Linked DNA regions of Oryctolagus cuniculus. The protein of the gene in region 1 purifies or fractionates together with the protein of each later gene. This does not show direct contact. Links are inferred from orthologs where the notes say so. Each region holds a gene or a part of one and is shown on either strand. Other genes may lie near its edges.

Region 1 (3,736 bases):
AGGCAGTGACGCATTGGGCTGCTGGCCTTGGAATCTGGGTGTCAGCCCTGTGACGTGTTGGTGGGGGCTGTCTCTGGCTGGCCTGGAATAACGGATGATTTGTACTTTATTTTTCCTTAATTCTGTGTCCTGTTATTCATTGCTGGGACAGCCAGAAACCCCCGTGTGTTTAAGAGCGCTATTCATAAAGGTGCAGTCCAGTCCCTCTGCCCCCGTACAGGGAAGTGCAGACCGAAAGGAACTGCCAGTCACCCTGGCTGCCTTCTCCCTGCTGGCGAGAGGAATTGACAGCCATGCTTGTCCTGGTGCATTGGGCCCACCAGAGGGCACCAGCTGCACGCAGCACGCTGTGGCATCCTTTAGTTCTTCCTGGAGCACTGGGCAGCTAACGGATGTGGGGAGGGCGGGAGACCATGGGGCTGGTGTGTAGCCTGGCTGCTTTTTTTTTTTGAAGGGGGGTAAGATTTATTGATTTGTTTGAAAGAGTCAGAGGGAGAAAGATCTTCCATCTGTTGGTTCATTCCCCAGATGGCCGCAGTGGCGAGGGCTGGGGGCCAGGCTGAAGCCAGGAGCTTCTTCCAGGCCTCCCACATGGGTAGCAGGGCCCCAGACCATGTTCCGCTGCTTCTCCCAGGCCATTAACAGGGAGATGGATGAGAAGTGGAGCAGCCGGAACATGAACCGGTGCCCACATGGGATGCTGTGTCACAGGCGGTGGCTTTACCCCCTATGTCGCAATGCTGGCCCCGCCCGATTGCTTAAAGCAACGTCACTGAAATGATAAACAAGAGACTTCCCAAGCCGCTGCCCTATCGCAGTCCTGAAAGATCCCGGGCCACAGAGCTACCCGGTATTTTTAGTCCTGGGCCCATCTGGCTCCAAATATCACGTGTCTGAAAACAGCTTCTGTTGTCTGCTTTTCCCTCAGATGCTTCTGACGAGCAGAATTCTCAGTCTCCGGTGGAAAACGCCATGAACAGCTCAGAGAAAGGAGAACGGCAACCTTCCGGGGACTCGGGTCTGGCCGCCGAGTCATCAGCAATCTCTCAGGTACCTCGATCAAGGCCTCGGGGCCAGCGCTAGTGGCCAGGCCCACTGGGTTGTCAGGAATGGTGGAATGGTGTTCTTGTATTGGAGCAGCACCCATGAGTATGGTCCTGTGTCCTGGCCTGGGTGCCAGGGCCATGGCCTCGGGGTGCCTCTGGGGGAAGAGGAGGAGGAGGAGGGGCCCTTCATCTCAGCCTCACCTTCACTTTATTTATTTATTTATTTTTTTGACAGGCAGAGTTAGTGAAAGAGAGACAGAGAGAAAGGTCTTCCTTCTGTTGGTTCACCCCCCAAATGGCCACTACAGCCAGCGCACTGTGCCGATCCGAAGCCAGGAGCCAGGTGCCTCCTCCTGGTCTCCCATGCGGATGCAGGGCCCAAGCAATTGGGCCATCCTCCACTGCCTTCCCGGGCCAGAGCAGAGAGCTGGACTGGAAGAGGAGCAACCAGGACAGAACCCGGTGCCCCAACCGGGACTAGAACCCAGAGTGCCAGCGCCGCAGGCAGAGGATTAGCCTAGTGAGCCGTGGCACTGGCCACCTTCTTCACTTTAAAAAAAAAATATTTATTTTAAGGGCTGACATTGTGGCATAGCAGGTTGAGCCGTGGCCTGCAGGGCTGGCATCCCATATGGGTTCTGGTTCATGTCCCGGCTATTTTTTTTTCCCCAAGATTTATTTGTTTGTTTGAAAGGTAGAGTTACAAGGCCGGCGCTGCGGCTCAATAGGCTAATCCTCTGCCTGCAGCGCCGGCACCCTGGGTTCTAGTCCCGGTCGGGGCGCCGGATTCTGTCCCGGTTGCCCCTCTTCCAGGCCAGCTCTCTGCTGTGGCCAGGGAGTGCAGTGGAGGATGGCCCAAGTGCTTGGGCCCTGCACCCCATGGGAGACCAGGAGAAGCACCTGGCTCCTGGCTTTGGATCAGCGTGGTGCACTGGCCGCAGCACGCCGGCCATGGCGGCCATTGGAGAGTGAACCAATGGAAAAGGAAGACCTTTCTCTCTGTCTCTCACTGTCCACTCTGCCTGTCAAAAAAAAAAAAAAAAAAAAAAAAAAGAAAGAAAGAGTTACAGGGAAGCAGAGGCAGAGAGAGAGTGATCTTCCATCCAGTGATTCACTCCCCCAGATGGCCACAATGGCCAGAACTGTGCCTATCCAAAGCCAGGAGCCAGGAGCTTCCTCTGGGTCTCCCACGTGGGTAGAGGGGCCCAAGGACTTGGGCCATACCGCTCTCCCAAGCCATGGCAGAGAGCGGGATCAGAAGTAGAGCATCTCGGGCTTGAATTGGTGCCCATGTTTTTTAAAATATTTATTTATAAATATAATACAAATAAGTATTTTTAAAAAGTATTTATTTGTAAAGATTTATTTGAAAGAGTACAGAGAGAGATGGAGACAGAGAGGTTGATCTTCTGTCAGCTGGTTTGTTCCTCAAATGCCTGCATCAGCCAGGTCTGGGCCAGGCCATGGATGTGAGCCCAGAGCTCCCTGGTCTCCCCATGAGTGGCAGGGAGCCAAGTTCTTGGGCCATTTTTTTGCTGCCTTCCCAGAAGCCTTTGCAGGAAGCTGGATGGATGCGGAGCAGCTGGGGCTTGACCCTGCACTCCCATGTGAGATGCCGGTGTTGCAGACTGTGTCTTACCCCTCTGTATTGCAGCGCCTGCCCCAGCCTCTTCATTTTCATTTCTTTGAATCCACAAAAGCCTTGCAAGCGTCCTCTGGAGCTGGGACGCCAGGGCGTCGCTGGGAATTGTGCAGCCAAGCCCCTCTCTGAGGCGTCATGGGGCGTCCTCCTCCGGGCCAGTCGCTGCAGATGTAGGGCCGGTGATGAGGTTAGGCGTCCCAGAGTCAGACCCCGGTTCCAGTGCCAGCTCCATCTCTGGCCAGCGCCTGGAGAGTTCCAAATTGGCATCCCAAAGCTGTGTGAGGGCGTCCCTGAGGACGACCCAAACCTCAAAGCTGAAACCGGGCCTCTCCCCTTGCTCCCCACCTCCACCCGAGCTCAGGATGTGAGCAGGAGGTGGGAGAGGTCCAGTCGAACAGACAGCCTGGCGTTCTGAGCAACACTTCAGGCCACACGTCTGTCTCCTGCTCTCTCCTCCTGACTCAGGGCCGTCAGCTCTCTGGGCCTGCCCGCAGGTCACTCACCATCACTTCGTAGTGGCCAGGCGCTCGGCCAGAGGGCCCTGCCCCTCACAGGGACTCTCCTAGGACACTGTGGAGCTTGTAGTCCTTTCAAAGTAGGGAAAGAAGGCAGACGTCTGGCTCAGCTGTTAGGATGCACCTGGGGCACCCACATCGCACGTCAGTCTGCCTGGGGCTGAGTCCCAGCCCTGCTTCCTGCTGATGGGTGCCCTGGGAGGCAGCCGGTGATGGTTCCACCCTGCTCCCCGCACGGGAGGCCTGGATTGAGTTCCTGGCTCCTGGCTTTCATCTGCCTCAGCCCTGGCTGCTGCAGATATTTGGGGAGTGAGCCAACAGATGGAAGATCTCTCTCTATCTCTCTTTCCTTCTCTCTGTCACTCTTTCAAATAATGAAAATAATGAGAGCAAGCTCTCCCTAGCTTCCTAACCCCTGCCTCCAGGGACTCAGAAACAGCTCACGTAGGCTTCTCTCCAAGGCTGACGCCACATCCCACCTCCAGGCCAGGGGCCTGTCTCACATCCCACACGGAGCGCCTTCACTGCCTACC
Region 2 (3,736 bases), on another chromosome or scaffold:
GTCCTGGCTTTTGCCTGGCCCAGCTCCAGAGATCTGAAAAAAAAAAAAAAAAAAAAAAAAAAAAAAAAAAACGAAGATCACAGAAGACCTGAACTGAATTCCCAGTTCTGAGTTTCAGCAGATGGGAGTCACATGTGTCTGTTTCTGTCTCTCAAATTTTTTAAAAAATATATTTTTTTAAACAGCAAAAAAGCCTCAGCTAAAATTCTGTTGAGGTTCCCTTTTTTAAAATTTATACACTAGTCATAGCAAAGGAAAATAGCAATAGGCTGGCACACAGAAACTGAAAATGCCCCAGTACTATTATAAATTGATGTACTTACAGGAAGTTTGGTGAAGGCCGGGTTGGTGACATGCTTCCCAAAGGCATCTTCCTGGAACTGGAGAAGCTGTACCACCAGCCCAGCCAGTGTTTTATTGGTAGGAGCATCCGCATGAACATACTGCAAAATAAAGAGACAGACTTAAAAAGTGGTACAACTGTTGCAGGAGAGACTGCTGGCTTACTTCCTAGTATCTACTAAGCACTGCCATTCTAGTAGAATGGCATCTAGTACCTCTGCCTTTCAGATAAATAAATTTTTATTTAAAAAAATACCACACAGGCTCGCTCGGTTAATCCTCCGCCTGTGGCACCAGCATCCCATAAAGGCACCGGGTTCTAGTGCCGGCTGATACTCTTCTAGTCCAGCTCTCTGCTGTGGCCCGGGAGGGCAGTGCAGGATGGCCCAAGTGCTTGGGCCCCTGCCCCTCATGGGAGACCAAGAAGAAGCACCTGGCTCCTGGCTTCGGATCAGTGTAGCTCCGGCTGTAGCGCCCATTTGGGGGTTGAACCAACAGAAGGAAGACCTTTCTCTCTGCCTCTCTCTCTCTCTCACTGTCTATAACTCTACCTGTCAAATAAAAAAAATAAAAAAACACCCACACACCCACACATGTGACACATAGCAGTATATGCCAGACATGAATCAAACACTGAAGACAAATTTTATACAACAGAGCATATAAGATGTCAACTGTCAGTCTAAAGCCATTGTTCTCAAATTTTAGTAGACAGAGAAGGGCACTGTGCCTTGGGATACCCACATCTGACATCAGAGTGCCTGGAGTCAAGTCTCAACTGGGCCTCTGATCCGGCTTCCTGCTAACGCACATCTTAGGGGGCAGAAGATGATAGCTCAAGTACTTGGGTACCTGCTACCCATGTGGCTTACTTGAAATCAATTCCTGGCTTGTCAGCATTTAGGGAGTGAACAAGCAAATGGGAGAGCTCTCTCTGCCTTTCAAATAAAAAATGAAAATAAAAATTTGAAATAACATGTATCTTTGTGTATATTCTAAGGTCCTTTATAACATACATGTTTCATTCCCAATATTGTCATTCAGAATGAAAAAAAGCTATACTTAAGTGCATCTCATGGTATATATACTATATTTCAATAAAACATTAAAAAAAAAAAAAAAAACGGGAAAAAAATGTTCATGTGGGGGCCAGTATGGTGGCTTAGCAGGTTAGGCCCCGGAATCCCAAATGGGCGTTGAGTCCCAGCTGCTGCTCCACTTCCTATCCAGCTCCCCACTAATGCGGCTGGGAACACGGCAGAAGATGGCCCAAGAGCTTGGGACCCTGCGCCCATGTGGGAAAACCGGATGAAACTCCAGCTCCACCCAATGGGGCCATTTGGTGAGTGAACTAGCAGATGGAAGACCTCTCTTTCTATAACTGTCTTTCAAATAAATAACGATCTAAAAAAAAGGGGGGGGGGCAAAGAAAAATAAAGACATAGTGACAGAAAGAAAGATAGGGAGAGATCTCCCACCTGCTGGCTCACTCCTCAAAAGCCTGCAATAGCCTGGACTGGGCTGACGCTGGGAGCCAAGAACTAATCTAGGTATCCTATGCAGGTGGTAGGGACCTAGGTACTTGAGCCATAAACTATGGCCTCCCAGGTGCATTAACAGGATGCTAAAATGGAAGCAAAGGCAAGACTGGATCCCAGGCATGAATATATGAATGGGACACTGGCATCCCAAGCCACAGCTTAACTCGCTGCACCACAATGCACATTCTACCACAAGGCTCAAGTGTTTGAGTCTGTTACCCATAAGGGAGACTCAAAATTGAGTTCCCAGCTCTTGGCTTCCATCAGCCTTGGTCCAGTCCCAAATGTTGCAGTCATCTGGGGAGTAAACCAGCAGATGGACAACCTGTGTCTGTCTGTCTCTTCCTGTCTCCCTGCTGTACAAAATAATAAAATTAAGAAAAAAAAAGATTGTAGGAAATGGAAAGAAAAGATATGATTTATGAAAATAACTAGGATTGGTGTTGTGGCTCAGCAGGTCAAGCCGCTACCTACAATTCTGACACCCTATAAGAGAGCAAAGGATTTCATTCCATCTGCCCCACTTCCGATCCAGCTCCCTGCCAGTGTGCCTGGGAAAGCAGTAAAAGATGGCCCCGGTAATTGGAAGATTCAGATGGAGCTCCAGGCTCCAGGCTTCGGCTTGGCCCAATCTGGCTGTTGCAGCCATATGAGGAGCTAACTAGTGGATGCAAGACATCTATCACTCCCTGTCACTCTGCCTTTCAAATAAATAAATCTTGGCCGGCGCCGCGGCTCACTAGGCTAATCCTCTGCCTTGCGGCGCCGGCACACCGGGTTCTAGTCCCGGTCTGGGAGCCGGATTCTGTCCCGGTTGCCCCTCTTCCAGGCCAGCTCTCTGCTGTGGCCAGGGAGTGCAGTGGAGGATGGCCCAGGTGCTTGGGCCCTGTACCCCATGGGAGACCAGGATAAGCACCTGGCTCCTGGCTTTGGATCAGCGCGGCCATTGGAAGGTGAACCAACGGCTAAAGGAAGACCTTTCTCTCTCTCTCTCTCACTGTTCACTCTGCCTGTCAAAAAAATAAAAATAAATAAATAAAAAATAAATCTTAAAAATATTTACAGAGTTGGTGCTATGCACAGAGGGTTAAGCCACCATCTGCGGCACCAGCATCCCATATGGATGCCAGTTCAAGTCCCAGCTGCTGCACTCTGATCCAGCTCATTGCTAATAGCCTAGGAAAATCAGCAGAGGACGGCCCAAGCCCTTGGGCCCCTGCCACCCACATCGGAGACCCAGATGAAGCTACTGGCTTGGGCCTGGCCATTTGGGGAGAGAACCAGTGGACAGATCTCCCACTGTCTCTCCCTCTCTCTGTAATTCTGACTTTCAAATAAATAAATAAATCTTTTTAAAAAAATAACCATTTAACTATCTTTAACTGTCAAATAATTTGTGTAAAAGGTATTAAAACATCTTCCTTAGGTGACCTAACTTTAGTGATCATCCTGAAACCTCAAATCTTATTTCAACAATAAGTCAAACTTTGGGAAGAAACTTATCTGGGAGCTTAGATATCCTTCAGGCGGTGAACAAATCAGTCTGAAGTCAGTACTGTTAGGGTTTTATCAACTGAAAACTATTCAGGAGCTATGCGCAGAGGTAAGGCGCTCATCTTTATCAAACATGAGGTGAATGAAGTGTACTCAGTAATACAAAGGCAGCAGCTTAGGTGGAAAATGAACCCGGATTTTGTAATGCTGAAAGACCCAAATGTAATGTCAGCAAACAGTCTCCCATGCTTCAGTTTTCTCACCTAAGTGGTCACCTACTTTGGGACTCTGTTTGTCCAAAGATCATCCCAGTCAAAAAGTCAAAAACCCTACTCCGTGTTGCTAAGCCAAACTTGCCA
Region 3 (4,285 bases), on another chromosome or scaffold:
GAGCCTTACGTATCCTGGGAGGGAGTACGGCATTCAATTTAAGGGCACTGGGGACCTGGGGAGTTTTAAGTAACAGATTAATGCGACCTGATTATATTTAACAATGTTTTTAAATGCACTTAATAGTTATTTCTTTTCTACAGTAGTTCTCATCAAGGGGTATTAGAATTACCTAACTTATTTTTAAAATGCAACGCTGGAGGTCATTGGTTTGGAGGTATGGCTGGCAGGGATATTTTGGAATGGCCACCACTTCCTCAAGAACTACCGCTGGTCTGGAAGCTTCAGAGTTGGAGGGGACATTCGCTGCCTTATCACGAAGCCTTGCTGGGGTAGAAAGGGGCATGGTTTGATGGCTGTAACTGTCACAGTTGCAGGGGTCTGTCCCCATACTGACAGGTGGCCAACTTTTAGGGAGGAAGAGGAGAGGGATCTTAGATGCAGGAAAGCAGAGCAGCAGGGCTTGTCACCTAAGGAATGCTACAGAGGTACGAGTGGGAACTAATTTCTAACAGAGGGTTGGAGGACTGCCGCGGCCCCAGTGAGCCATAATCTGCATTTATAATGAGAGCCCGGGTGTGCTGTATGCTCATTAAAGTCTAAGCACTGGTCTATGTCCTGGGGAGACCCCACATGAGGGTGGGGGGCGGGTTAGGAACCTGGCACAGCTGAAGCGTTTATTTGGAATACCTTCTGATACAGGTCAGTAGTACCGAACGTTTGAAGATAAAGTGCTATAAATACTGGAGACAGAACTTGTTTAACTGGGGGGTGGGGGGGCGCTTCTCAGGGCAAATTTCCTTCGCCGAGAACCATTTCCTGTGGAGTCAAGTACCAGGCTTCTTTAAAATGAGACAGAGCCATGTTAAAAATGTGCGATAAGAACCGGGCGCTAGGCCAAGTCAACGGTTCACACAGCTGGCCTGGGCCTGGCGCCGTCCAGGTCAGAGGGCGGCCCCAGGCCGAGTCTTCAACGCTGAACTGTATAAAGACTCAACAGAAGTAGTTTGAGGGGGAGTAGCGGACTAATCCGCTTTAGTGGCTACACCCGAGCTAGCAGAGCCCAGGACCTCGCTGACCTTCGACTTCTGACCCCCCGCCTCACTCGGCACTTCCGTTCGCACTTCCGCTCCCGCCTCTCCGCGAAGGGCGGGCCCACGGGTTGTGGGCGGTACCCTAGGCCGGCGGTTAGGGGCGGTGCCTGCTAGGGGTGCGTCTCGCGAGGGCGGGATTTGAGGAGGCAGTCTCGCATTGGACTGCGAGGGAGGGGCGGGGCCGAGTGCTGCCTGGGTGGGGCGGGGCCGGGAGTTAGTCGCCGCCTTTGGGTAACCGGACTCTGGTGGCCAAACCTCCCGAGGCCGGGGGCGGCAGGCGGGCCCGCAGCCTATCCCGGATCCGGAATCTCCCGGGCCAGGAGCGGAATCGGGGTCGGCCCTGGCCCAGACCAGGCCAGAAAGGAACTCGCGAACTTGGATTAGGAAATCCCGGATCCCGGATCCACAAAGCCCGGAACCCGGAATTAGGATCGGAAAGTCCCGGATCGCGGAGCGCAGCGCGCGGAGCGGACTCGACGCGGAGCCCGGAGGCCGGGACGGGACGGAGCGATGTCGGGCCGTGGCGCGGGCGGGTTCCCGCTGCCCCCGCTGAGCCCTGGCGGCGGCGGCGCCGTGGCAGCCGCCCTGGGAGCGCCGCCTCCCCCGGCGGGACCCGGCATGCTGCCGGGCCCGGCGCTCCGGGGCCCGGGGCCGGCTGGCGGCGTGGGGGGCCCTGGGGCCGCCGCCTTCCGCCCCATGGGCCCCGCGGGCCCCGCGGCGCAGTACCAGGTGAGGAGAGAGGAGCGAGGGCGCCTCGAGTGGGGCCCCTGGGGGAGCCCCCTGGACCGGGGGCGCAGGACTCTGCGGCAGGAGCTCGCTGGGGCCGGGGAGGGCCCGGCGGGGGCCCTCTGGCCGCGGCTCGGTTATGGCGGTGGCGGAGTGCGAGGGGGCTCCGAGGGCTTCCTTGGCGCGGGCGCTGCGAGTAACTGAGCGATGGAGTTGTGGGAGGCGGCGAACCGTGGCCGAGCAGCCCGTGTCCGGGGTTCCCGGGATGTGATGGGAAAGTTTCGGACAAGGCTCCCACCGCGCGACCGGGGTTACCCTGCGTTGGCCTTGGTCCTGTTCCAAGTCTGCCCTGTTTTTTCTCGTTGGGAACTGGCAGGGCTGGAGCATGTCTGAGATGGCTCCCAGCTGCTAAGGAGGCGGCAGGAGGCCTGGCTTCCCACCGCCAGGGAGGCTGAGGTTGGGGCCGGGGGAGTCCAGCCTGTGTGTGCAGGGGCAGACCCAGGAGCTTTTCACTGGATTTGACTCCGGGTTAGACCAGAGGCGGTGGCGAGCCGGCTGGAGGGAGGACCCAGCCCAGTGAGAGACCATCGCGCGCAGACCGTGTCCTGGGCTCTCTGCTTGGCGGCGTCCTGGTGGCGGGAGGTTGAGTGGAGGAGCCGGGCTGGGGCTGCAGGAGTTTGCTTCCCAGCGCTGTCCCGACGCCTGCGGGTTGACGTCCGAGAGAGGCTCACGTTGCAGCGCGAAAGGCCACCGAGAGGCAGAGCCGCGACGGTCCTTACGGCGGGCGTGTGAGCACTCGGTCTGGCCCTGCTGCGGGGTTGGTCTCCCGGTCCGTTATTTTAGGTTGCCCCAAATGCTTAGGAATTATACCTGTCTTTTTTTTTCCCCCTGCCCTCTCCGATTTACTTGGCCTCCGGGTTCTGACAACCCCGCATCCTAACCCATGCACCCTGCGTTTGCCGCTTGCTGGTCTCCCAAGGTCTCTTCCCTCATTGTGTCTCCCAGCCAGGGGTCCCAGAGGGTCCTCAGGGAGTGTCCTCCAGGACCCCCGAGCTCTCACATCCCCGGGCGATGCCTACTGGGGACAGTGAATTTTGTATTCCCTTATTCCCTCTCCTTCGTAAAAGAAAACAGGGTGAGGGTGTGTGCAGAGGGAGACCTGGTCCCAGGGGCCCCGCTGGGGCTCCTCCTCTCCTATCTTGCTCTACTCCCTAGGGGACTCCTGGACTCAGGGTGTGGCTGAGGGGTCCCTGCATCAGTTACTCCAGCCCTCGGGCCTGTTTGCTGAGACCTGGCCCGGGAACCTCTGGGCCTTTGGCCTTGGAGGGACCTGGAACAGACAATGCGGCCCTTGGGAAGAGTGCCCATGCCCCTGAGAGGATGGCAGTGGCCAGGCCTAGCTGCGTGGCTGTGGGCCACTAGGAGTGGCACTGAGGCTGGCTTTCCTGGCCACCACTTTGTCCTCCTCCCCTCCGGAGAGATGGGAAGGGGAACCTGGCCCCCCGGGCTGAGTCAGGTCCCGTTGTGTGACTTCAGGAGAAGGGACTTGAGGGTTCCTGTCTGTCAGCACTCGCAGAGGGAGCTAAGAGCAAGGAGTCGAGGCCCACGCCGGGCAGGTAGGGAGCCTGTGGAAGGAAGGGCTGTGATGCCCCCTCCCTCCAGAGGGGGCCTGGTGGTCACCGCCAGCAGAGAAGCTCAAGGCCAAACCTCGGGTGCTGGCTTTGCTCTAGAGAACTCAGGATGCCCCGCTGACACCCTGAGCAGCAGGGCCACAGCTCAGGGGCGGGGCACCGCGTGCTCACCTGGCGGCTCAGCAGAGGGGCCGGCCTTGGAACAGCTGGTGTGGGGGACGGGTGATGCGGTCACTGCACACTTTCGGGGTTCAGGGGGCCCCACCAGGCCTGCCTCACCCTGTTTCATGTCAGGAGTCAGGGAGGGTGAGAGTTTTGGGCTGTAGGTTGTAGGTCTTTTTTTAGAATTCCTGAGTTGTTTTTTGAAGGGGTTGGAATTACTGGTGCTTCAAAGCCCAGGTGTGGAGCTTGGCAAGGCTGAACTGGGACTCCAGCTGCGAAGCAGCCTTTCCCTGGGGCCCAGGGTGAGCCGGGGGCCCTGAGCCCGGCACGGGACCTGCTCCAGGTCCTGCCTGTGCGCCTTGTCCTTGTCCTGGGACTTCCTGTCTCCGGAGCACCTGCTCAGGAGGGCTAGGTGGTGGTGCAGGCTTGGTGAGCGCCCTAGTGAGTGGCTTTGTGGGGACCGCAGGGCCCTAGCTCGCCCCTGCAATTGCTGCTTGCTCCCTTGTCTCAGGCACTGGAAAAAAAAAAGTTGCAGTCTGGGACATGTGTGGGGCCTGGGCTTACAGCTGCGGCCACATTGAGTGCTGCCCCCTCCCCCCCCATCTCTGGCTGTGGCTCATTAAAGCGGAGAAGTAGGTTGTCTTGCTTTCAACAGCTCTAATGAATCCCTTC
Region 4 (3,736 bases), on another chromosome or scaffold:
TTCCTTTCTGACACTCACTTCCTAGTTTAAATGAGAGCTTTGCTGCTTACTTGAAACACTCTGTGACAAGTTTTAAAACTGATCTGCTCAGCATCCCTGTCTGTGAACTAGGGCCTCATAAAGTATGGACTGGGGCCGGTGCGGTGGCGCAGCAGGTTAAAGCCCCAGCCTGCAGCACTGGCATCCGATATGGGCTGCTCCACTTCTAATTCAGCTCCCTGCTAATGCGCTTGGGAAAGCGGTAGAAGACGGCCAAGTCCTTGGGCCCCTGCACCCGTGTGGGAGAGCCGGAAGAAGCTCCTGGCTCCTGGCTTCAGATTGGCTCAGTTTTAGCCATTGCAGCCATTTGGGGAGTGAATGGAAGACCTCTCTCTCTGTCTCTACCTCTCTCTGTAACTCTGTCAAATAAATAAAAGTAAATCTTCAAAAATAAATTTAAAAAAAAGCATAAACAAGAAAGAACATAAAGCAGCAACTGGCACACTGCCCACCGTACTCCTGGCTCTGATTTGCAGAGACATCTTTATCCTCCCTGATGGCAGGGATCATGTCTGTCTCGCCTACGTAATCTCAGGTGAGCGTCTGCACTTAGAGGGAAGGGGCGTGGCAGGTGCAGCTGCATCCCACGTGGGCGCCAGTGTGAGTCCTCACTGCTCGGCTTCCAAGATCCTGGGCCCCTGTAGGAGCCTGAATGAAGCTCTTGGCTTCAGCCTGGCCCACGCTGGCAACTGTAGCCATTTGGGGAATGAAAGAACAGATGTAACTCTGCCTTTCAAATAAATCAATAAATCTTAAAAAAAAAAAGCAAAGGAGGTGCAGAGACCGCCTGCCAACAGAGACTGGGGTCAGCTCGGCTCTGCTAGGTGGGCGTGCCCGATGAGGGACTGCCCGGAGAAGTTTCCTTAGCCGCAGCGAAGGCCTCCTACCTTCCGGGCACGACTGTTGGTCACGGGGAACTCGCCCAGACTGTCGTCGTCGACGCGGGGATCCGGGGCGCCTCGCTTCTCCAGAGGGTCAGTGCGCAGCAGAGCCTCCAAACTGCTGCCGTCCTGGGAGATCAGCCCCTCCTTCTTCAGGGTCTGCTCCGTGTCTGCAGGCACAGTCAGGACAAGGCGAGCTCAGGGGCTGCGAGCAGACCTGGGTCTACAGCAGAGGTCAGCCGCTGCCTCTGCTCCGGCCGCCCAGGCACCACCACTGGCGTTCTCCACAGGGAAGAATCGCGTCTTACTACACTCGAGATCTAACACTGCGTCTGGTACCTATCAGGTGACTGGCAGGCCTCCGCACAGAGGCAGGCGACCTCACCTGGCTTAATGGATGGGAAGGACAGTCGTGGATCCTCAGGGGGGTGGGCTCGCCGCTTTTTCCGCCAGCGCCGGGCAGGGTATGAGTACAGCTGACCAGAGGCCAGTCCTGTGGTATGAAGAGAAAGAAGTCAAGCCCTAACCTAGTTCTAGAAAGTAATACCAAACTCTTTCCAGATGAGCAGCTTCCCTTCCCCCCTTTTTTATTTTATTGTTTTAAATTTAATATTTTAAAAGATTCATTTATTTGAAATGCAACATCAGAAAGAGAGGAGAGACAGACATCTTCCATCCACAGGTTCATTCCCCAAATTACTGCAATGGCCAGGGCTGGGCTGGGCCGAAGCCAGGAGCCTGGAGCTTCATCCAGGTCTCCCACATGGGTGCAAGGGCCCAAGCACTTGGGCCGTCCTCCACTGCTGTCCCAGGCCATTAGCAGAGAGCTGGATTGGAAGTGGACCAGCTGGGTCTTGAACTGGCACCCATATGGGATGCCGGGGTCCCACACAGAGGTTTAACCTGGTACGCTGGTTTAACCTGGTTTAATGCTGGCCCCCTCCCATCTCAAGTTCTAGAGCAAGGGAGTAAGACTGACAGTGAGGTGGGGGCTACTTTGTGAAAGAGAAAAACAGATCCAGGCGCAGGCCTTGGCAACCACGCAGCCCTCCAGAAGCCAACCATGGCTGCAGCAGGGCAGCAGACGCTGGACGACCCGGCCTGCCCCCTCCACGGGTTTCTCAGCACAGGAGACCACAGGCAGCCGCGGGGGAGACTCAACTGCACCCTTGCCCAGCACGAGCCAGTCTTCCTCCTGCCGAGCCTGGACCCTCACCTGGACCCCGGTGCCGCTTTTCCATCCAGATGTAACAGTTGCTCTGGGCGACTCCGGTCTGCGAGTCCAGGAAGGGCAGGCGCACGCTGCGCTCGGCACAGAGGCGGGCGTTGTAACTGTGGCACTGCTCCATGGCGTCCTTGTAGTACTGCTCCCCGAGCCTGGCGAGAGAGCCGGGGTGTGGGGAGCCGCAGGGCGCTACGCTAGCTTCTCCGCAGGGCCCAGGAGACGAGGGCTCGCACTTCCCCTCTATGTACCTCCATCTCTACCTCGTGGGACAGCAGGCTCCTCCCTGCGCTGTCACATGGACATCACCACCGGGAACGCGTGATTTCATCATGTCTGAGCAGACCTGAGCCTCACTCACACTAGCGCTTACTCGGTGACTCTGCCGAGCCCACCGCAGTGCTCGCTGTTTCAGGTCAGCTGCCAGTTCTCGGAGCCCTCACGGGCCTGAGGCCTGGGTGTCAGCCCTCCTTACAAATGGGGAAGGCGCTCAGGACGGCCTGGTGGACGTCCTACACTTAGCACTCTACGGTATAGCCACAGAAGAAAGGAAGCTCTTCATGTATTGGAGTAGACAATTCCAAGACTAGGACGATAAAGCAAGAACGTGCCGATGTGTCACCTGGGTAAGAGGGGTGGAAAAGACACAGCCGGTCTCCAAGGAGACAAGCTGGTGACTGGGGGACTTCCATCCGTTCCATCCGTATTTTATTTATTTGAAAGGCAGAGCTCATGGGGGCGAAGGGGGAGTTGGACCTTCCATCCGCTGGTTCACTCCCCAGATGGCTGCAACACCAGAGCTGGGCCAGACTGGAGCCAGGAGCTCCACCCCGTCTCCCATGGCTGCAGGGCCTCCAGCACCGGAGCCGGGTCAGCAGCAGAGTGGCCAGGCCTTGGCGCCGGGACTCCGGAACGGGACGCGGCATCGCAAGCAGCGGCCCTGCTGCCCCACCATGCCTGTCCCTCTTCTGTATTGTAAGTTAGACATTCCCACCTCCTGGTTTATTCCCCGAATGCTCACCACAGCTGGGGCTGGGGCAGGCTGAGAACAGGGGCCCAGAACTCAGGCGCGGCCTCCCACGTGGGAGGCAGGGACCCAAGCACTTGAGCCGTCATCTGCTGCCTTCCAGGGTGTGCGAGAGCGAGAATGCTGGGACAGGAGCAAAACTGGACTGGAGCCCTGGCACTCGGATACAGGACCTGTGTGTCCCAAGCGGCATGTCAACTGTTGTACCAAACACCCACCCCCCCTCGAAGCTTTCATTGAGTAACATTACTGACATGAAACCTGTTTAGTCTGAGGTCCTGTTCCTACCCAAATTATACAGGAATCGGCTTTGACCCAAAAAGAGATTCAATTTGAAATCTGAATTAAGGACAAATCTTTCAGTGTTTTGAAGAACTGGAAAACTGCACAGTGCCAAGAGTTACCTGGTTCTAAAAAGTATGTACATGAAACCAGGGTTCAACCAGCCATTTGGTCATGCAGGGGGAACTAGTAACCCCTAGTTAGTTAATATACCCCCCCCTTTTTTTTTTTTGACAGGCAGAGTGGACAGTGAGAGAGAGACAGAGAAAGGTCTTCCTTTGCCGT
Region 5 (4,397 bases), on another chromosome or scaffold:
TTTTTTTTCTGATATGAAAAAATATTTCTAAGGCCCAGAAGTGAACTTGGCGATTCCCTTTTAGGACTAGTTGTGAAAAGCAGCCAGGACGTACGGCTGAACTTGTAGGAACTGACTTTGATCTAGCTTATCAATCTGAATAAAAGCACTGTATGATTATTTGCATATAGTTTGATTATCAATGTCTGAAGCATAAACAAGATTGATTTTAGAATACATGTATATAGATACATAAAACATTTATATTTGCATATGAAAACTTTAAAATGCAACATATGTGGTTAATACGTATAATTAGTATGTATTTGAATATATAGAGAAAAGCCAGGGAAAAAAATGTCAAAAGGCCCACTAAAAGAGATGTAGTGTTCTCTTGGCACAAACTGATGATTTGGCATGACTTCCTCTTACAGTTCTGTTATTGTCTCTTACCCGTTTTCCAGTTGTTTGGACAGAATGGCAATTTGTTGTTTCTTCTCCAAATAACGACCCTTGGGTGTGCGCCTGGCTCCCCGCCCCCACCAGTCACCAGTAGCTCCGTCTGGCTATCTGTCTCTAGTCAGGTAACATGCTTACACTTGGTCAAGCATACATAACTAGTGCATCCGAAACAAGCCGAAATGCTTGCTATGGAAAGCTGAGGAATGAAATGATTTTGGAAAACTATACTCTACCAAAATCGTGTATCTCATTTCTGGGAGTGTGACCCCTGGAGAGCTGGAGAGTACTTCTTAAGAAGTACTGTTACTAAAGATACTCATAATGATACTAGGTGGTAAACTCATAATAAAAACTGTTGCAATACACAACTGTGTACTATTTCTGCTTTTACATTAGATTGGACTGTTTTATAGTTATTGATCTTGTATTTATATTACATTTAACATCTATTGAGTTTTGTTTCATGTTACTTGGAAAGAAACTTTCTCAAGAGGGTTCTCTGTGCCCGTTACCCTCTGAAATAACGCTGGAAGGTGCTACTACATCACCGGAGGGGGGGGGATTCGACTTTGGACAAATAGTGGCATCTGCGTGGGAAAGCTGTGTGCCGCGTGACCCTCGGCTGCGTGTGCCCGAGACAGAGAGGACACAGGGGTGCGAGCTCTCCCCACAGACTCCTTGCACAGGAATCTAGGGTGCCTTAAAAACAGCCACGTAGCCATTATCTCTGGGGCAGGTGCCGGCATCGGTGAGCATCCATTGAGTACCTGCTGTGTACAGGGCTCTGTGCTCTTCGAACGCGGCTAACCCTCCCCGAAAGCCCTTCCTGAATTCTGCAGTTGGAAGAAGTTGTGGGAATCACGCCGATGGCCAGGAATCAAGGCAGGGAGGCCAACGTTCTGGAAAATTACATAACTCCTGTGAGAGCCAGCGCTTTTGCAGATCGCCCAAATATTTTCTTTCCTCCGTGGGCTCCTCGTCACCTCGGAGGCCCACGGACAACTTCGTGCCCCAGCCCTTCTTCCCTCTTTTGTCTGCTCGCCACAGACTCGTTTTTCCACCTTTGGAGCGTTCCTTTTAGACGCGAAAACAAACACGCGAACGCCCGGTTGGCAAGGAGACGGAGGCACGAGGGGAAAGTGCAGCTCCGGCCGCCTCTCGCCGCCGCGCTCCGAGCGGCTGCCCAGCCGGCCTTGGCCCGGGCCTGCGCGCGGCCCCCGGCCCCCGGCCCCCGGCCCCCGAGGCTGCGCCGGCACGGGCGGGCGGCTGCGGCCCGCGCCGAGTCCAGTCCGCGTTTTGCGAGTGCACAGGAGCAATCAGAGAGAAGTGGGATAATAGTTGCTCCAGCTCGCTCGGCTCCTTCTCGTGCCATGCTGGGCCCGATAGGCTCAGCCGGTCGTGTATTTACCCATATCCGGGTTAGAGAGGAAAAGAGAAAAGTTTCGTTTAAACCTGAACTAAAAACTTTCACCGTGAAAGCACACAGCGGGAGCAGGCCCAGACCGTAAGGCGTGCCCCGGGCCCGGCGCTCCGGCGGGGCCTGCGGAGGGGGAGGGGGCCGGCGGCTTCCCGGCGGGCCGCGTGGATGCGCGCAGGAGGGGCCGCGGCCTGAAAAGTGGGGGTATTGTCTCCCCCCGCCGCCCGCCCGGCCTCGCCACGCCGCGGCGATCATGGCCGCGCGGGCAGCAGCGGCGGCGGCGGCGCGGGCGCGGGCGGGCAGCGGCGAGCGGCGGGCGCCCCCCGGGCCGCGGCCGGCGCCCGGGGCCCGGGACCTGGAGGCGGGGGCGCGCGGCGCGGCGGCGGCACCGGCGGCACCGGGACCCATGCTGGGGGGCGGCGGCGGCGGCGGCCTGAATAATGTGCACCACCACCCCCTGCACCCCCGTCACGAGCTGAACATGGCCCATAACGCGAGCGCCGCGGCCCCGGCCGCCGCCGCCAGCACTAGCAGCGCCAAGAGCGGCGGCTCGGAGGCGGCTCTCAAGGAGGCTGGAAGCGCCGCCGCGCTGTCCTCCTCCTCCTCCTCCTCCGCGGCGGCGGCGGCGGCGGCGTCCTCCTCTTCCTCCTCGTCGGGCCCGGGCTCGGCCATGGAGACGGGGCTGCTCCCCAACCACAAACTGAAAGCCGTTGGCGAGGCCCCCGCCGCACCGCCCCACCACCACCACCACCACCATGCCCACCACCACGACCACCATGCCCACCTCCACCACCACCACCACCATCACCACCACCACCACGCACTACAGCAGCAGCTAAACCAGTTCCAGCAGCAGCAGCAACAGCAGCAGCAGCAGCAGCAGCAACAACATCCCATTTCCAACAACAGCCTGGGCGGCGCGGGCGGCGGCGGCGGCGCGCCTCAGCCGGGCCCCGACATGGAGCAGCCGCAACATGGAGGCGCCAAGGACAGTGCCGCGGGCAGCCAGGCCGACCCCCCGGGCCAGCCGCTGCTGAGCAAGCCGGGCGACGAGGACGACGCGCCGCCCAAGATGGGGGAGCCGGCGGGCGGCCGCTACGAGCACCCGGGCCTGGGCGCCCTGGGCGCGCAGCAGTCGCCGGCCGCCGTGCCCGGGGGCGGCGGCCAGGCGGCCGTCTCGGAGTTTAATAATTACTATGGCAGCGCTGCCCCTGCTAGCGGCGGCCCCGGCGGCCGCGCTGGGCCTTGCTTTGATCAACATGGCGGACAACAAAGCCCCGGGATGGGGATGATGCATTCCGCCTCAGCCGCCGCCGGGGCCCCCAGCAGCATGGACCCCCTGCAGAACTCCCACGAAGGGTACCCCAACAGCCAGTACAACCATTATCCGGGCTACAGCCGGCCCGGCGCGGGCGGCGGCGGCGGCGGCGGCGGAGGCGGAGGAGGAGGAGGAGGCAGCGGAGGAGGAGGAGGAGGAGGAGGAGCAGGAGCAGGAGCAGGAGCAGGAGCGGGAGCTGTGGCGGCGGCGGCCGCGGCGGCGGCAGCAGCAGCAGCAGGAGGCGGCGGCGGCGGCGGCGGCAGCTATGGGGGCTCGTCCTCGGGGTACGGGGTGCTGAGCTCCCCCCGGCAGCAGGGCGGCGGCATGATGATGGGCCCCGGGGGCGGCGGGGCCGCGAGCCTCAGCAAGGCGGCCGCCGGCGCGGCGGCGGGGGGCTTCCAGCGCTTCGCCGGGCAGAACCAGCACCCGTCGGGGGCCACCCCGACCCTCAACCAGCTGCTCACCTCGCCCAGCCCCATGATGCGGAGCTACGGCGGCAGCTACCCCGACTACAGCAGCCCCAGCGCGCCGCCGCCGCCGCCGTCGCAGCCCCAGTCCCAGGCGGCGGCGGCGGCGGGGGCGGCGGCGGGCGGCCAGCAGGCGGCCGCGGGCATGGGCTTGGGCAAGGACATGGGCGCCCAGTATGCCGCTGCCAGCCCGGCCTGGGCGGCCGCGCAACAAAGGAGTCACCCGGCGATGAGTCCCGGCACCCCCGGACCGACCATGGGCAGATCCCAGGTAACCCCCGCGCCGGCCGGGCCTGCTTCCGCCCGGCGGCCTCGCCGCGCCGCGAGCCCGAGTTTCTTTCTTTGCCGCGTACTTTTCCCCAGTTTTCTGGTTGGGGGGCGGCGGGGGCGCGGCGCCCAGGGCCATCTTCGCGGGCGGCCGCCTCCCGCCGAGGTCGGGCGCGCGAGCGTCCGCCCGCCGAGTCCGGGCCGCGCCGTGCGGGCCGCGCAGGGCTTCGCCCGCGGCCGCGGGCCGGGCCGGGCGCTCCGGTGCCCGGTGGACCCGCAGCCTCGCCCCGCCGGCTCTCCCGAGGCGCTGGGGTGGTGACGGGATTCCGAGACAGCGCCCGCGGTCGCGGGAGGCTGTGGGGGCCCGGGGCTGGGTGCGGGGGGCTTTTGTGACGGAATCGGCTCTCCGGGCCGCTGAGGTCTGGGGATGGGGGGGGGGTGTTGACCAGATCTGCCCGGGGAGCGCCCACAGTGTGCCCTCGCTGGG
Region 6 (3,736 bases), on another chromosome or scaffold:
AGACCAGGGGAGGAGGAGAGGGAGCTTTACACCGCTGTCTCTACCACAGTCCTCCTCATGCACCTTTCCAGCTGTTCCATGTGACCCTGACTCTGCCTCCCTCCTCACAGGGTCCATGCCTTCCTCGAGCAGTGGGGTCTTATTAACTACCAGGTGGATGCCGAGAGCCGACCAACCCCCATGGGGCCTCCGCCCACCTCTCACTTCCATGTCTTGGCCGACACACCGTCGGGGCTGGTGCCTCTGCAGCCCAAGACCCCGCAGGTAGGGCGAGGGGCTGTGGGGACAGGGTGGGCTTGGGTAAGATTGGGCTTCTTCAGACTTTCTTTTTCTGGTTTTTAGGGTAATGGTTCAGGAGTATTTTGAGGCTTCTTCCTTTTCCATGGGAGGCGAAGGGCCACAGGCGTGAGCCCCGTGTGTTAGCACCCTCTCTCAGCCTCTGTACTCAAGGCTGCGAGGACTTCCTGAGGGAGTGAGATCCTCCTTGTCCTCAGGGAGCAGATAGGCCAGTGTAGGGTTGAAGCAGACAGAGGAAAATGGTGTAAAATTGACTTGCATGAAATTGTCACACTTCCTCATGTTTCCCACATTTTTTCATTTTTGTCTCATAATTATTATCACCTCCATTTTTTCCACTTCCATTTCATCTATTATAAAAATTAAGAGAAGAAAGGTTATGTGGCTTGCCCAAGGTCACAGAGTACCAAATCTAGGAATAGAATCTAATTGTCCAGCTCCTAAGAGAACCTTAAAAGTACATGTGCATACAAATGGACACCATGCCAACCATGTGTCTAATTAATCAGAAAGGGAACTGGAACAGTGGCATGAGTGCCCCAGAGCTTGCGGGCCACCCAGCATTTGGTCTTGGCCTGGTCATTTCCTGCCCAGCTTCCATGACGCCAAGCTCTGTCCCCCAGGGCCGCCAGGTTGATGCTGATACCAAGGCTGGGCGAAAGGGCAAAGAGCTGGATGACCTGGTGCCAGAGACGGCTAAGGGCAAGCCAGAGCTGGTAGGTGGGGTGCAGACCCCGCTGAGCTTCTTATTTGCCCCTTTATTGGGGGTCCCCTGCCCGGGAAAAAGAGGCATGAGAGCAGAGGAGCTACAGCAGTAGGGGAGGAAGTCCCGCCAGGGACGTCCCTGGACTGGGAAGGAAGCTCCTTCTGTCTGTTTTCTCTCTCTGTCTGCCCCTGACCCCCAGTGGTCACTCGTACTCACCTCTTTCTTTCCCCTCCACAAATAGCAGACCTCTGCTTCCCAACAAATGCTCAACTTTCCTGACAAAGGCAAAGAGAAACCAACAGACATGCAGAACTTCGGGCTGCGCACAGACATGTACACGAAGAAGAGCGTCCCCTCCAAGGTAGGCGGTGCAGGCTGGCTGCGGGGCTGGAGAACCTCTCCCAAGAGCTCCCAGGCTCCTGCCTCCTGACCCGCCTGCATCCTCTGCAGAGCAAAGCCGCAGCCAGTGCCACTCGAGAGTGGACAGAACAGGAGACCCTGCTACTCCTCGAGGTAATTGGGGCAAGGAAGAGAGTTCTGCTACAAAAACAGTAGGGACCAGGGTGCCAGCTGCACTTGGGAGCTGGGAGAGCTCATGGAGTCTGGCGTGAGCAGAGCACCATCTCTTCCCGGTCTCTCCCCTTCCTGATGTCTGTCACACCTGCCCCAGGGAACAGCTCCAGGCCAGGGATCTGGGACGTTTCTTTAACTTCAGATCCTTTCTTAGTGCTACTTGGAGATCCCCCTTGGATCCAGCAGAGTAAACACAAAGCAGAACACAGAGAGCTTTGAAGCCAGCTGCCCCTGGTAGCATAGCGGGAGTTGACCTCCAAGGAAGGTGGCTAAATAAGAAGAGTTATGTCTCCACCACCCCACCAGGCACTGGAAATGTACAAAGATGACTGGAACAAAGTATCTGAGCACGTGGGAAGCCGGACACAGGATGAGTGCATCTTGCATTTCCTTCGTCTTCCCATTGAAGACCCCTACCTGGAGGACTCGGAGGCCTCCCTGGGCCCCCTGGCCTACCAGCCCATCCCCTTCAGTCAGTCGGGCAACCCTGTCATGAGCACTGTTGCCTTCCTGGCCTCTGTCGTCGATCCCCGCGTCGCGTCTGCTGCTGCAAAGTCTGCCCTAGGTAACCGGGGTGGGGGTGCCGGCCTTCTTAGTTTGCGTGTGAAGGGCTGGTTACTCAGACTGGGAAACGCTCTCAAGTCCAGCTGCCCCGCTGGCCGCTCAGGGGCCTGTCTAGGTGCTGCGCTGGTCTTAGTTGAGAGGGGCTCTGAGATGGTGTCTACCAGGATAGCCAGAGCTGCCCGCCTGCACTGCTCCCAGCTGCATCCCCTGGGTCTTTCAGAGGAGTTCTCCAAAATGAAGGAAGAGGTGCCCACAGCCTTGGTGGAAGCCCACGTTCGGAAAGTGGAGGAAGCAGCCAAAGTGACAGGCAAGGCCGACCCAGCCTTTGGCCTGGAAAGCAGTGGCATCGCAGGAACCACCTCTGAGGAGCCTGAGCGGATCGGTAAGGCTTGGGACGTTTCCAGATCTCTCCCTTTCCTCCAAAAGCCACAGCCCTCTGGCCTCCCTGGGCCATCCCTGCCCCATGTTGGTATCAGAGCACAGCGGGACATGGCTTCTGGCTGGTCCTGTCACTAGGTTTTGGCTGGTGGAGGGGCTGTGGGGAGAGAGACTATCAGGCATTTCCTCTTCCCTTTCCTCTCCCCACGGGCCCAGAGGAGAGCGGGACTGACGAAGCCCGGGCGGAGGGCCAGGCCACAGATGAGAAGAAGGAGCCTAAGGTATAGAGGGACTGAGCTCAGGCCGGGAGGGGCAGGAGTGGCGGTGGTGGGTGAACAAGGGCTGTCCCCAGAGCCAGGTGGGCTCCGAACATGCCAGAGTGAATGCAGCTCCCAGTCTCCCCCACCTGATGCTCCCTGTCCTTTCCCTGGTGCCTCAGGAGCCCCGGGAAGGAGGAGGGGCTGGAGAGGAGGAGGCCAAGGAGAAAACTAGCGAGGCCCCCAAGAAGGATGAGGAGAAAGGGAAAGAAGGCGACAGCGAGAGGGAACCGGAGAAGAGTGATGCTGACTCAATGGGTGAGCATCCCGGACGGGGTGGGGGAAGAGGGATGGTGACCCAGGGGGTGAACATCCCGGACAGTGCCAGGGTTGGGGAAGAGCCCAGCAGAGACAAGTGGAGCTGTCAGACTAACTCAGCCCTCGCCCCGGCCCAGCTGATCCCGAGAAGGAGAAGGAGCCAAAGGAAGGGCAGGAGGAAGTGCTGAAGGAGGTGGTGGAGTCGGAGGGAGAAAGGAAGACGAAGGTGGAGCGGGACATTGGGGAGGGCAACCTCTCCACCGCCGCTGCCGCTGCCCTGGCTGCCGCCGCTGTGAAAGCCAAGGTGAGGCAGGCCCTGAAGACCCGAGGAAGATGCCCTCTAATCTCCTTCGCTTACAAGCCCTTCCTTGCTCACCCCTTGCTAGCCTGCTTTCTTGTTATTTTTATCCTAAAAGAGAGTCAGTCATCTCATCTCTAAGCTTTTTTAATTTGGGGGCCTGTTTCCAGCTCTGTAACCATGTGACTTCGTCTTATCTTTTGCTGCTCTTTTTTAAAAAAAATACCAAGCCAACACTTCTGTGGGTTGTGACCGCAGGGAGTTTGCTCTCACACCTGCCCATGTCTGCCCTGCCTTTCTCCCCTGGGATGTGTGCGGCGGGGTCCTGCTGCTCACAAGCCGTCC
Region 7 (3,736 bases), on another chromosome or scaffold:
GTTCACCCCCCAAGTGGCTGCTATGGTTGGCACATTGTGGCCAGTGCACTGCGTGGATCCAAAGCCAGGAAAACAGGTGCTTCCTCCTGGTCTCCCATGTGGCCATCCTCCACTGCCTTCCCGGGCCACAGCAGAGAGCTGGACTGGAAGAGGAGCAGCCAGGACAGAATCCGGCACCCTGACAGGGACTAGAACCCGGGGTGCCGGCACTGCAGGCAGAGGATTAGCCTAGTGAGCCGTGGTGCCGGCTCATTTATTCATTTTTAAAAAAGATTTATTTATTTATTTGAAAGGCGGAGTTACAGACAGAGGGAGAGAGAGAGAGAGAGAGAAAGAGAGAGAGAGGGAGAGAGAGGTCTTCCATTCACTGGGTCACTCCCCAAACGGCTGCAATGGCCAGAGCTGGGCTGATCCGAAGCCAGGAGCCAGGAGATCTTCTGGGTCTCCCACATGGATGCAGGGGCCCAAGGACTTGGGCCATTTTCTCTGCTTTCCCAGGCCACAGCAGAGAGCTGGATCGGAAGTGTAGCAGCCGGGTCTTGAATCAGCACCCATGCATGATTCTTCTTAACAGTGATCACTCTTTTACTTCTTTTAATAAATAATTTTAAAGGATTTATTTATTTGAAAGAGAGTGACAGAGAGAGAGATGGGGGGCAGAGAGAGAGAGAGCGAGCTTCCACCCACCGGCTCACTCCCCAAGTGGCTACAACAGCTAGGTCTGGACCAGGCCAAAGCCAGGAGCCAGGAGCCCCACCCTGGTCTGCCACAGGGGTGCAGGGGCCCAAGCACCCGGGCCACCCTCCATTGCCTTCCCAGGCACCTTAGCGGCAGGGAGCTGGATCGGAAGTGGAGCAACTGACTTTCAGATAAGAGATGCTGGAGTCACAAGTGGTGGCTTAAGCCGCTGAGCCACAACACCGGCCCCACCATTTTACTTCTTAGTGCAGGTCAGATCCTCTTCCTAAAATGAGTTTATCGAGTTCTCATTATCTGCCAGGCACCTCTTCAAAAATTTTTTTTTTATTTAAAAAATAAAATTTATTAGAGAGAGAGAGAGGGAGAGAAATAGACAGAGAGACCTTCTATCTGCTGGTTCACACCATAGGTGCCTGAACCAGCTGGGTCTGGGCCAGGCCAAAGCCATAAGCCCAGAACTCCATCCAGGTCTCCCTCGTGCATGGCAGGAACCCAAATACTTGAGCCATCCACCTGCTGCTTCCCAGGGTGTGCGTTGGCAGGAAGCTCTAACGGAGAGTGCAGCCAGCTCCAGTATGGGTGTGGGTGTGGGTGTGGGTGCTGGCGACCCAAGAGGTGTCTTAACTGCTCTCCCAAACTCCCTCCGCAGTCACGTCCCCTTTAAAACACCCACATCAACCCTCACAACCATCCCATCCGGCATCGAATGGGATGAAGCGAAAACCGAGGTCCAGAAAGCTTGTCATTTGCCCAAGACCCAAAGGGCACGGCCAGCGAGAGGTGTGGTTACCGGTGCCCGCCAGAACTAAGCAGGGTGGGTGGGGTGCCGGCCACGAGTGGGGCGGGGTCGGGCTCTGCAGAGCCCGCGGGGTCCAGGGACCGGCATCCAAGGTGTGCCTAATTCTCGGCGTTGACGTGGGAGTGCGCGCGGGGCTGTGTGTGCCCGTGTGAGGCTGTGCACGTGAGACGGGGAGGTGTGTAGGACGGCGCGTGCGAGCCACACTGTGCGCGCTCCTTGGGCCCCGCCTCCGCATCGCCGGTCGCCGCGGGCTCGGGCCCGGGCCCGGGACTACAACTCCCAGCATGGGCCGCGCGGGCACGCCCCGCCGGCGTGATTGGCTGTGGCCCGCGTGCTCCCGCCCCCCGGGAATGAATGGATGGGCGGCCTCAGCGCCCGCCCGACCGCTGGGAGGACCGACCCGGCGGGGACCTGCTGGGGGCAGGACCCGGGGAGCAAGATGGCCACGGTCATCCCCGGCCCCCTGAGGTGGTGCGGGCCGGCGGGAGGCGCGGGCGGGCGCGCGGGCGGGTCTGCGCAGGCATGTGTGCCCGTGTGTGCCTGTGTGTGCGTGTGTGTGTGGCGGCTGGGGGTGGGGCCGAGGGGGTGTCTGGGGGGTTGTCACCGGGTGCGGGGCTGCGTGGGGGTGCGAGTGTGCGTGACCGTGGGTCTCCGGCAAGAATGGTGTCCGGCGCGCTGCTCTGCAAGGGGCGGAGGGCTAGGGCCGACTCTGGTCCTTTCCAGGAAAGGGGTCATCGCCCCTGCCTCGCGACCCCCGGGTTTGGGAGAGGGGGAAAGGGCCTGGGGAACGGAGGGGCCTTGGTAAACTCCAGTGAAGTCCACACCACCTTTGTCTGGGATGTGGAGTGTGTGTGTGTGTGTGTGTGTGTGTGAGAGAGCGAGAGAGAGAGCGACAGCGAGAGTTCTCTGTATGTGTGTGTGGCTCTGTCTGGATATGTGTTGGATTTCTTTTATTCCGCGTTGGACATCTTTGGGTCTCTGAGCGTGTGTGCACCCCTCCGGGATGGCACCCACGATCTAGTGTCCTGTGTTTGGGGAGCTGTAGACAGGCATGCATGCACTTTTCTGTAAATTGTTGTGTGATGTTGGTGGATTTGATGTGTGTGTGTGTGTGTGTGTGTGTCTTTGGCTATGTGCTATTTTAGATACCAAATTCTACATCGTGCATATTTGTGAGTGTGTATGTGTGTACCTGTGTGAATCCGTGTGATTTCTTTGTATATTGTGTGTCTGGTATGTGTGTGTGTGTGTGATTTGTGTGTCTGGATACTGTGGGTGAATGCCTGGGAGCCATTTGTCTTACAGTCTCTCTCTTTTGACGTTTGTGCATCTGTGTGTGTCTCTGGGTGCACAAGTTTGTGTGTGTGTGCGCGCGCGCACGTGTGATGTGGCCTAGTCTACCTTGTGAGTCTTTGTGGGTGGCTTGTTTGTGTTGTGTGTCTTCGGATACCTGACACATACTTGTGCACGGATCTGTCTCTTTCCACACCAGGTCACTTGGGATATGTGTGCTTTTCCGGGGATATCTGTGTGTGCACGTGTGTGAGATTTGTGATTCTCCTTTGTGAGTATTGAATCCGTCTCTTTGTGTGTGGAGCCCGTGTGAGTGTGTGATTCGTTTGGTTGTGTGTTCACGTATGGATGGGTCCTGGTGTATTTTTTGTCCGTTTTATATTGTGGGCATCTCCTGAGCTGGAGGCCTGCGTAAGCCCCAGACTGGGGGCCCCTTGGCGCCGTGTCCCGCCCCCCCACCCCAGCCTGGGTCCAGGAGGGGCGAGGTGAGAGTGGACGGGGCAGCCCCACGTCCCCCCCGGGAGCAAGCAGGGCAGGGCGGGCCAGGGAGCAGGGCAGGGCGGCCCGGGGAGCGGGGCGGCCGGGGAGCGGGGCAGGGCTGCCCCCGCTGACAGCCGCCCGCCCGCTGCCGCCCTCGCAGCCTAGGCGAGGACTTCTACCGCGAGGCCATCGAGCACTGCCGCAGCTACAACGCGCGCCTGTGCGCCGAGCGCAGCCTGCGCCTGCCCTTCCTCGACTCGCAGACCGGCGTGGCCCAGAACAACTGCTACATCTGGATGGAGAAGACCCACCGCGGGCCCGGTGCGCGAGGGAGGCCGGGCTGGGGCGGGGCGGGGCGGCCGCTGGATTCGGGGCCGCTCGCTCACTCCCTCTCCCTCTCTCCGTCCTCCCCCACGGCTGTCTCTCCAGGTCTGGCCCCGGGACAGATCTACACGTACCCTGCCC

What was found.
Region 2: the proteins of BCL7A (region 1) and SMARCC1 purify together in Homo sapiens (affinity purification with mass spectrometry; 4 studies listed by BioGRID and IntAct, counting the BioPlex papers as one, with this or other methods). This does not show direct contact. The link is inferred for Oryctolagus cuniculus from reciprocal best matches to the Homo sapiens genes BCL7A and SMARCC1.
Region 3: the proteins of BCL7A (region 1) and SMARCD2 purify together in Homo sapiens (affinity purification with mass spectrometry; 5 studies listed by BioGRID and IntAct, counting the BioPlex papers as one, with this or other methods). This does not show direct contact. The link is inferred for Oryctolagus cuniculus from reciprocal best matches to the Homo sapiens genes BCL7A and SMARCD2.
Region 4: the proteins of BCL7A (region 1) and DPF2 purify together in Homo sapiens (affinity purification with mass spectrometry; 3 studies listed by BioGRID and IntAct, counting the BioPlex papers as one, with this or other methods). This does not show direct contact. The link is inferred for Oryctolagus cuniculus from reciprocal best matches to the Homo sapiens genes BCL7A and DPF2.
Region 5: the proteins of BCL7A (region 1) and ARID1B purify together in Homo sapiens (affinity purification with mass spectrometry; 4 studies listed by BioGRID and IntAct, counting the BioPlex papers as one, with this or other methods). This does not show direct contact. The link is inferred for Oryctolagus cuniculus from reciprocal best matches to the Homo sapiens genes BCL7A and ARID1B.
Region 6: the proteins of BCL7A (region 1) and SMARCC2 purify together in Homo sapiens (affinity purification with mass spectrometry; 4 studies listed by BioGRID and IntAct, counting the BioPlex papers as one, with this or other methods). This does not show direct contact. The link is inferred for Oryctolagus cuniculus from reciprocal best matches to the Homo sapiens genes BCL7A and SMARCC2.
Region 7: the proteins of BCL7A (region 1) and DPF1 purify together in Homo sapiens (affinity purification with mass spectrometry; 3 studies listed by BioGRID and IntAct, counting the BioPlex papers as one, with this or other methods). This does not show direct contact. The link is inferred for Oryctolagus cuniculus from reciprocal best matches to the Homo sapiens genes BCL7A and DPF1.

What each region holds. Positions count from the first base shown.
Region 1 is NC_091452.1:7,043,947-7,047,682, reverse strand, and holds part of BCL7A (B-cell CLL/lymphoma 7 protein family member A), read left to right. Parts: intron 1-928; coding exon 929-1,050; intron 1,051-3,736.
Region 2 is NC_091441.1:101,101,374-101,105,109, reverse strand, and holds part of SMARCC1 (SWI/SNF complex subunit SMARCC1), read right to left. Parts: intron 444-3,736; coding exon 324-443; intron 1-323. UniProt on the Homo sapiens protein: Involved in transcriptional activation and repression of select genes by chromatin remodeling (alteration of DNA-nucleosome topology).
Region 3 is NC_091448.1:14,876,147-14,880,431, forward strand, and holds the start of SMARCD2 (SWI/SNF-related matrix-associated actin-dependent regulator of chromatin subfamily D member 2), read left to right. Parts: upstream 1-1,379; 5' UTR 1,380-1,604; coding exon 1,605-1,823; intron 1,824-2,211; exon of another isoform or gene 2,212-2,637; intron 2,638-4,285. UniProt on the Homo sapiens protein: Involved in transcriptional activation and repression of select genes by chromatin remodeling (alteration of DNA-nucleosome topology).
Region 4 is NC_091432.1:6,288,802-6,292,537, forward strand, and holds part of DPF2 (zinc finger protein ubi-d4), read right to left. Parts: intron 3,343-3,736; 5' UTR 3,259-3,342; coding exon 3,164-3,258; intron 2,765-3,163; exon of another isoform or gene 2,394-2,764; intron 2,298-2,393; coding exon 2,137-2,297; intron 1,414-2,136; coding exon 1,306-1,413; intron 1,091-1,305; coding exon 927-1,090; intron 1-926. UniProt on the Homo sapiens protein: Plays an active role in transcriptional regulation by binding modified histones H3 and H4. Is a negative regulator of myeloid differentiation of hematopoietic progenitor cells. Might also have a role in the development and maturation of lymphoid cells.
Region 5 is NC_091436.1:10,839,426-10,843,822, reverse strand, and holds the start of ARID1B (AT-rich interactive domain-containing protein 1B), read left to right. Parts: upstream 1-1,450; 5' UTR 1,451-2,111; coding exon 2,112-3,914; intron 3,915-4,379; exon of another isoform or gene 4,380-4,397. UniProt on the Homo sapiens protein: Involved in transcriptional activation and repression of select genes by chromatin remodeling (alteration of DNA-nucleosome topology).
Region 6 is NC_091442.1:58,974,324-58,978,059, reverse strand, and holds part of SMARCC2 (SWI/SNF complex subunit SMARCC2), read left to right. Parts: intron 1-110; coding exon 111-264; intron 265-920; coding exon 921-1,013; intron 1,014-1,244; coding exon 1,245-1,364; intron 1,365-1,453; coding exon 1,454-1,516; intron 1,517-1,882; coding exon 1,883-2,141; intron 2,142-2,360; coding exon 2,361-2,523; intron 2,524-2,729; coding exon 2,730-2,799; intron 2,800-2,957; coding exon 2,958-3,093; intron 3,094-3,230; coding exon 3,231-3,397; intron 3,398-3,736. UniProt on the Homo sapiens protein: Involved in transcriptional activation and repression of select genes by chromatin remodeling (alteration of DNA-nucleosome topology).
Region 7 is NC_091449.1:16,356,261-16,359,996, forward strand, and holds part of DPF1 (zinc finger protein neuro-d4), read left to right. Parts: intron 1-1,544; exon of another isoform or gene 1,545-1,856; coding exon of another isoform or gene 1,857-1,966; intron 1,967-2,082; exon of another isoform or gene 2,083-2,299; intron 2,300-2,357; exon of another isoform or gene 2,358-3,139; coding exon of another isoform or gene 3,140-3,276; intron 3,277-3,431; coding exon 3,432-3,592; intron 3,593-3,700; coding exon 3,701-3,736. UniProt on the Homo sapiens protein: May have an important role in developing neurons by participating in regulation of cell survival, possibly as a neurospecific transcription factor. Belongs to the neuron-specific chromatin remodeling complex (nBAF complex).